Caenorhabditis elegans: one gene and its partner. The protein of the gene in region 1 purifies or fractionates together with the protein of each later gene. This does not show direct contact. Each region holds a gene or a part of one and is shown on either strand. Other genes may lie near its edges. The genes, in order: ZK402.5 and ruvb-2.

What was found.
Region 2: the proteins of ZK402.5 (region 1) and ruvb-2 fractionate together in Caenorhabditis elegans (co-fractionation; one large-scale study listed by BioGRID). This does not show direct contact.

The regions. Positions count from the first base shown.
Region 1 is NC_003284.9:1,399,075-1,403,002, reverse strand, and holds the start of ZK402.5 (SPK domain-containing protein), read left to right. Parts: upstream 1-1,643; 5' UTR 1,644-1,760; intron 1,761-2,372; 5' UTR 2,373-2,464; coding exon 2,465-2,472; intron 2,473-2,519; coding exon 2,520-2,801; intron 2,802-2,845; coding exon 2,846-2,959; intron 2,960-3,007; coding exon 3,008-3,271; intron 3,272-3,322; coding exon 3,323-3,839; intron 3,840-3,888; coding exon 3,889-3,928.
Region 2 is NC_003282.8:6,917,538-6,921,465, reverse strand, and holds the start of ruvb-2 (RuvB-like 2), read left to right. Parts: upstream 1-2,059; 5' UTR 2,060-2,067; coding exon 2,068-2,109; intron 2,110-2,202; coding exon 2,203-2,340; intron 2,341-2,393; coding exon 2,394-2,522; intron 2,523-2,573; coding exon 2,574-2,850; intron 2,851-2,896; coding exon 2,897-3,287; intron 3,288-3,338; coding exon 3,339-3,491; intron 3,492-3,928. Other genes in the region: T22D1.18 (Transposase), read left to right, coding at 1,303-1,509. UniProt on the Caenorhabditis elegans protein: Possesses single-stranded DNA-stimulated ATPase and ATP-dependent DNA helicase (5' to 3') activity suggesting a role in nuclear processes such as recombination and transcription.

The DNA of each region.
Region 1 (3,928 bases):
AATTGTTTATTAAACAAATAAAACGAAAACAAAGCTTTTATTCAGAAAAAAATGGAAATTGTAATTTATAACTTGAATGGCGAGGAGACCAGACACGGTGGCACTTGAATGGTGACTTGAATGGCAAGGAGACCAGAAGCATTTATTCTGTCCTGTAAACGGTAGGGTAAGGTAAAAAAAGACTAAGAAAAAAAACTCACCATACTCTAATGAGTCCTTCAATCTCATCCAGGGCCTCGAGATTGAGAATTATTTTGCGTAATTCTCTGTTCTCCTGACGAAGAAAACGATATAGATTTGAAAAAAATCGGTGCATGAACGCGGTTTGAGTGGCAGGTGCGAAATTTAGCTCCCTGGCTGGGGGTGGGAAATTTAGCTCCACATACTACTGAAAGTCGTCCGAAACTTCTCCAGCAAGCCCAAGCATCACTCGGACACGGCTTTCAATACTGTAATTGTCCAGTTGATCCATGTTTGGCGCAAGCTTTTTATGGAATCTAAATCTAAATTTATTAAAGAGAACCAGGTATAATATTCTCACTTTCGATAATAGGCTCCATCCGAACATCTGGCATTTTCTTTTTTACCGAACTCCATGAAAACTTTTGTTGCCACCAGTGGCTCATTGGCTTCTTTCGTCTTTTCAACAAGAAACGTCATCAATCTTACGTCATCGGCGGAGAGCATGATCTTCGTTGACCTCTTTCGTGCTGCCTTAGAAGATTTACTGTGGATTCTTTCCAACGTGAGTTTTCCGTCGCGTGACTTATAATTGCAGATTCGCATTTTCTTGTCAATCTTAACAGTGCCAGTCGATTTGATCCTGCAACAAACTAAATTCATAAATCTGAAGGTAACATCTCTCCTCACAATGTCATGAACTTGTCCGACACTTTTGCCGACAAGGCAAACGTCACTTGAATGCGTGACACGACACTGTATTCGTTTTTTTCGTTTTATGTTCCGACCCCTACAATACTTTAATACGAATCCTTAAGCATCGTAATTTATTTTCGTTTTTTTTTTTTTGGTTTTTCAAAAATTTCAATTTTTGTTTTTTGGTCCAAACTTTTTTTGGTCCCAGTCCTGTGGCCAACTCTACCTCGGGACAACATAATAGGGGCAACGTTTTTCAATCTCTAAAATAATTTTTGTATAGTTTTATTTGCGCGCATTTGAAAAATCTCATGGGTACGCAAATGAAAAACGCGATTTCAAGATCAAATATATAATCAGGGATTTTTTTAATTTGTTCACATAGATGTTCGGAATCAGGGGAAAATTTGGAGTTATTTAAAAATATTTCCTAGATTTCGGTACCCCACCTTTAATACCTACAGTTGTGACGTAATTTTTCAACACTTTTTAATTTTCCGACACTATTTGAATAACCCCATTCAAAGTTGTATTATTCAAGTCACATGTATTCCGAGAACTTCCTAAATTACAATATATTCGAAATATTATTCATATTGGTAAATATTGATGGATGGATTCCTTTAGTCGACAACATATTGTCACCCCACCATAAAACCCTCAAACATGTTGTCACCGTCTAGATAGGTACGTAGAAAAGAATGACTCACTGTGTTCATATAACCTTGGCGTTAGCAGCTGCACAGCAACATTCTACATTTCCAATCATTCTTTGTTTTACTTGGGTTACTGGTGGTGACCCTCTTCTATTCTTCTAGTTTTCTATATGAACCTTTTCTAATGTTATTCCTATTTTTACTTTAGTAATATTAATTGGTAGAAAAGTAAGTTTTTTTTTGAATTTGTTTCAACAGGTAAGTGGGAATTTTATTTCAAAATATGCAATTTGTTGCTAAATTTTGAGAAATTTATTAAATTGGAAAACTGATAACACTCTTGGTTATCACTTTATTTGAATTTTCGGGCTTTTCTTCTCAAATTTTTTTAATTTTTAAAAGTAGGTGTTTGTCATTGGTGAAAATTATTTAAAACCGCTGAGATAGTGCTATACTCTTTAAATTCTATTATGAAACATTAAAATTTTTCAAATATTGCTTATTAACTTTGATATAAGGTGGATTGATTATTTTAAGTTTAAAATACTGTGTAGGAATACTCAAAGAGTTTAAGAAAAGCATTCAAAAATGCTGTGGAGTAGCGCCAGTGGGAAAAGTGCTAAAACTATTAGAAAACTATTAATATGATGCCAAAATGACCAAATATCACAACAAAACTTTTTAAAATTTTTTTGAAATTTTTTATTTACTGTCAAAAAATGACGATTGACAACTCATTTTTTGCCACTCATAATTCTGGAAGTCGACCAAAAATTTTTTTAAAACTTAAACTTTTTATATTGTAATTTTGTTTCAATTATTCGTATTAAAGTATTGTAGGGGTCGGAACATAAAACGAAAAAAACGAATACAGTGTCGTGTCACGCATTCAAGTGACGTTTGCCTTGTCGGCAAAAGTGTCGGACAAGTTCATGACATTGTGAGGAGAGATGTTACCTTCAGATTTATGAATTTAGTTTGTTGCAGGATCAAATCGACTGGCACTGTTAAGATTGACAAGAAAATGCGAATCTGCAATTATAAGTCACGCGACGGAAAACTCACGTTGGAAAGAATCCACAGTAAATCTTCTAAGGCAGCACGAAAGAGGTCAACGAAGATCATGCTCTCCGCCGATGACGTAAGATTGATGACGTTTCTTGTTGAAAAGACGAAAGAAGCCAATGAGCCACTGGTGGCAACAAAAGTTTTCATGGAGTTCGGTAAAAAAGAAAATGCCAGATGTTCGGATGGAGCCTATTATCGAAAGTGAGAATATTATACCTGGTTCTCTTTAATAAATTTAGATTTAGATTCCATAAAAAGCTTGCGCCAAACATGGATCAACTGGACAATTACAGTATTGAAAGCCGTCTCCGAGTGATGCTTGGGCTTGTTGGAGAAGTTTCGGACGACTTTCTGACACAGTAAAAAATTTTAAAAAGGTTTTTGAGTTAACGAATAGTGATTTACAGAGTTCAAACGGAGGGAATTGTCGTGCTCAATGATGGCAAACGAATTTGCGAGTATGCATCACGTGATGGAAAGCTGAAGTTGGAGGCGGACCACAGTCATTCGGCAAGAATGAAAAGAACATCTGCATATCACCGAAAGGCTGGTCGACACGTGCACATGGTCATGAATGCAAGTCAGACGACGAACCAAGCCGAGAGCGACGAAGATGGCGTAGATTCGGCGACTTCTCTTCCTAGATCTCCGAAAAGAGCGAGAACTGAAATGTATATCCTGTCAATTTCATATTACGCAGTATTTTATTTGATTATTTTCAGGAGCTCGAGTGACGACGACGATGATCTGGAGATTATTGAAACTGTGGACGGATATCCGAAGCCTGAGCCAGTTGATTTCGATTTTGAAGAACTCCTCAATAGAGATTCAACCTATAATTTGCTCATCGATCATTCGCAAGAATATAAAGAAGTGATGATGGAAGAGAACAATCAGCCAACTATTTATGTGAAATCTCTTCAATTGGACAGTGACGACGATGAGGTGCAATACATCGGAGCGATGAAGGGACAGCCGAAGCCTGAACCAATCTTCGAAGGATTTGCACCACATAATTCGAATAGCGATCATGTGCAAGAAGAACAAAAAACTGGTGTTCCACGCTTCGATCGTCAACAAATCAGTCTTTCCGCGAATACTGGAGCCACTTCAGATGAACCCATTAATATGTCTGAATTCCTGAAACAACTGACCCAGTTCATTTGCTTTCTCAAAAGTAGGGAACTCGAGGAGCTCAAGCAACAAATCAAAAAGTCAATTGGAACTAATGTTGATAAGGTTTACAGTTCTCATGGAAAAAAAATTATTTTGAAAATTCGATTTTCAGAAAATCCTATTTGCCGAGCTTCGTGGAGTTTTCGAGGCAT
Region 2 (3,928 bases), on another chromosome or scaffold:
AATTAACCTTTATAAGTGCTGAAACATTTTAGAAATACCACAGAGTACCTTCAGCATCTGGAAAATTCTGAGGGCTCCAAAATTTAAAAACAAGTTACATCCAAATAATTATATATTTAATTTGCAGTTTTCATGATTTTTTATTCAAAATTTAAACGCATACATGTCTTGTAAGTTAAAATTAGTAATCTTAACAGTATAAAGGAAACTTTAAATGTATAATAGTACTCATAGATAATATACAGTATCGCAACTTTAAAAGATATCCATTTTTCTGAAACCACGTTATTCTGATCTTTCACACATTTCTTCAAAACTTTGTGAACAGTTTGACTGAATTAATTAAACATAATGGCTTGAATGCCATCTCCGTCTGTTTCAACAGATATGAATCTATTCTTTCACAAATCCACTGCGTCATTCAGGACTTCATTTATCTTCCTATTGATTCTTCAATTCACTCCGATTAAGTTTTACTATTTGATGAAAGTTCAACTTCATCGTCATTTGAATTATGTGCTCTCTTTATTTCTGGTATTATTGTTTCTGATTTATGTATTCTCAAGAACAGACTTACATTTAAACAGTGTCTAATGTTGTTTTGTGTGAATTGCAATGAGAGTTTATAATTTTTGTGACTAATTTTCATTTTGACCTTTGAAGAAATAAACGATTTTTTTGTTGTTGGGTTATTTTTATGTGTATAGTAAAATTGAAATGATTTGCTTCTTAATATTTTTGATACCGTATATTCTCTATTAGTTCGGCACCCCCAATTGCTCAACTTTGACAGCTTATATCTCGGATTTAAGCCAAAAATTTCAACTAAGAACATCTTTGTTAAATCTTTTTCTTTTTCTATGTTTTTCATTTTTCGATATCTTCAAAAGCGTGCGAGTTACATATACGCTATTAAAATAGAGCGGTTGAGGTGCCGCACTAATAGAGAATATGTGGGATATAGAGCTCTTTTCGAATGTACAGCGTATCTGTTAAATTTCTGTGATAGTTTTTGAAAATTAGTTTCTGAAAATGAAAACTTATAAGTAGGTTACGATAGAATCATGGAATCGACTGCTACAGCACTTTCCGAAAGTTTGAATTCAGGATATGCAGGATTTCTACCAAAACGTTCCACCGCCTCGGATTTAATTCTCTAAAATCGTATTTCCTAGCCAGAAAAAAGACTTGCCACGTGTAAGCGAGAAGACAAGGCAAAGGCTTGATAGCAATCTTCGCTTCTAAGCATATGCTTTGAAAACCCCGCATACAGCCTCATCGTCGCCCTCATTTCTCTTCCAAATGGCTAACATTGTACCTATTCATAAATCTTTAGAGTATTCACTGGTTGATGTACCACTTCTTTGTAAGAATGATGATCCGAATGATGAGATTGTGATCTATAGCAAATATTCGAATTCAAGAAGATTTATTGATTGGGCTCTTGTTATCACTGTGGCAATTACAGCATGCTATTCCTTATTCACATTGAGCAAATTTTATCTTTGAATTATTGGGAAAAAAGGTTTTGATTGATTTCTTTTGGCATTTTAATTAATTTCTTCAGAAATGATCCCGGCAATCGAACTTGAACATTCTGGTAAAAAAAGAGCATCTAAGTATTCAATTGCGCTTTTTTTCTATATTTATCTTTTTTATAATTGGTTTTATACATAAGATTTTATAAGTTCTGATTTTTTTAATTGATAAAATAAATACATTTATTTATGCTCGATTGATCAAATTTGAAAACATTTTACAAGGCTCATAAAGATTAAATTAATTTTCTTTAATATCCAGTCACTTTCAAAAACTTGACCGACCAAAATAACTTTAAATGCTTAATTTATAAATTTTTTTAAAATTAATTTATCCAACTCCAGATCACGTTGCTATATAATTAGAGAGTGAGACGCAGAAAGTGCGAGTTGACGCACTTCTCGTGCCCCTTGATTGACGCTTTTTCTGTGGTTGGCGCGTTTCGTGCGCGCGATTTTCGAATTTTAGGTTCACTTTTTCCGAATTTCAGCAAATTTTCAGCTTTATATTTCAATTTCAGACATCAAAATGGCGACATTGGACGGAATTAATGTGAAAGATATTGTAAAGGTATTTTGTTGCTCATATATTCAATTTTTGTGTTCAATTTAGCATATTTTCTAATAAAATCTAGGTTCAATTGCATTACAGTATATTTTCCAGGTTGAACGCACCTCCGTACATTCACATATTACTGGTCTAGGTCTTAATGATCGTTTAGAAGCTGAATATGTGTCTGGAGGAATGGTCGGCCAGGTTGCCGCTAGACAAGCTGCAGGACTTATTGTCAAAATGATTCAGGTAATGTTTTCTGCACAAAAATTCAAAACTAAAATTGCTACTATATTTTTTAGGAGGGAAAAATTGCCGGACGTGCTCTTCTTGTGACAGGAGAGCCTGGAGCTGGAAAGACTGCTATCGCCATCGCAATTTCCAAAGAACTTGGTGAGGACACCCCATTTGTCAGTATTGTCGCTTCAGAGGTTAGTCTAATGTTTTTTTTCAGATTAATAAATATCTTTTTTAAATTTCAGATTTATTCAAACGAAATCAACAAAACAGAGGCACTTACTCAAGCTTTTCGACGTGCTCTGGGAATTCAGATTAAAGAAGAAACTGAAGTTTTGGAAGGAGAAGTGATCTCGTTGGAAGTTGATCGGTCAGCAAATGGAATGGGACCAAAGGTCGGAAAACTCACAATGCGTACAACTGATATGGAAACTATCTACGATCTTGGATCAAAAATGGTTGATGCGTGTCTGAAAGAGAAAGTGATGCCCGGTGATGTTATTCAAGTTGATAAGGCTTCTGGTGAGAATTTTATTTAATCAAAAAACTGAAAAATTATCGTTTTTAGGACGTGTTACTCGACTTGGCCGTTCATTCAACCGTTCCCACGACTATGACGCAATGGGTCCAAAAGTGAAGCTTGTTCAGTGTCCAGATGGAGAAATTCAAAAGAGACGTGAAACTGTTCACACAGTTTGTCTTCACGACATTGACGTCATCAATTCTCGTACCCAAGGATACGTGGCACTCTTCTCAGGAGACACTGGAGAGATCAAAGCAGAAGTGAGAGATCAGATTAATAAGAAGGTTTTGGAGTGGAGAGAAGAGGGAAAAGCAAAGTTTGTACCAGGAGTATTGTTTATTGATGAAGCTCATATGCTTGATATCGAATGCTTTTCGTTCCTCAACAGAGCCATCGAAGGCGAACTCAGTCCCTTGATTATCATGGCCACCAACAGGTTTGCAAATATATTTTTTTTAATATTGAGTTTTTAATTAAATATCTTTAGATTGATCGAAAAAGTGCGTGGAACAGATGTCGAATCTGCTCATGGCATCCCATCTGATTTCCTTGATCGTATGCTCATCATCAACGCGATCCCATATACTAAAGAAGATACAGCAAAGATTTTGTCAATTCGATGTGATGAAGAAGGAGTCAAGTGAGATATATCTTTTAAAAACGCTCCACCGGCAATTGGAAACGCTCTGTCCCCGATCCATGGGTCTTGTTAGGAAAATGGCGACAAAACCGTGAATTCAAACGTTTTTCGATCAGCTTCGCAGATTTCGCCAAAATTTAGGCATTTTTCCGATGTTTTAGTGGTTTTTTGAGCTGAATGAGGTTTTTTTTATTTGACTGAATTTTATTTTATCAGTCTGCATAAAAATCACTAAGAAAAACTGGAAACTTGAAAAAAATGACGAAAAATGCTTTAAAAAATTGGTGAAATCCGAGAAACTTATCAAAAACGTTTCAATTTCCGGTTTTGCCGTCAAATACCTAACGAGACCAATGTTTCGGGGATGGAGCATTTTTATTTGGCCGTGGAGCGCGATTCCACGTTTATTTTGAAACGGGGTTTATTTGTTCGACCCA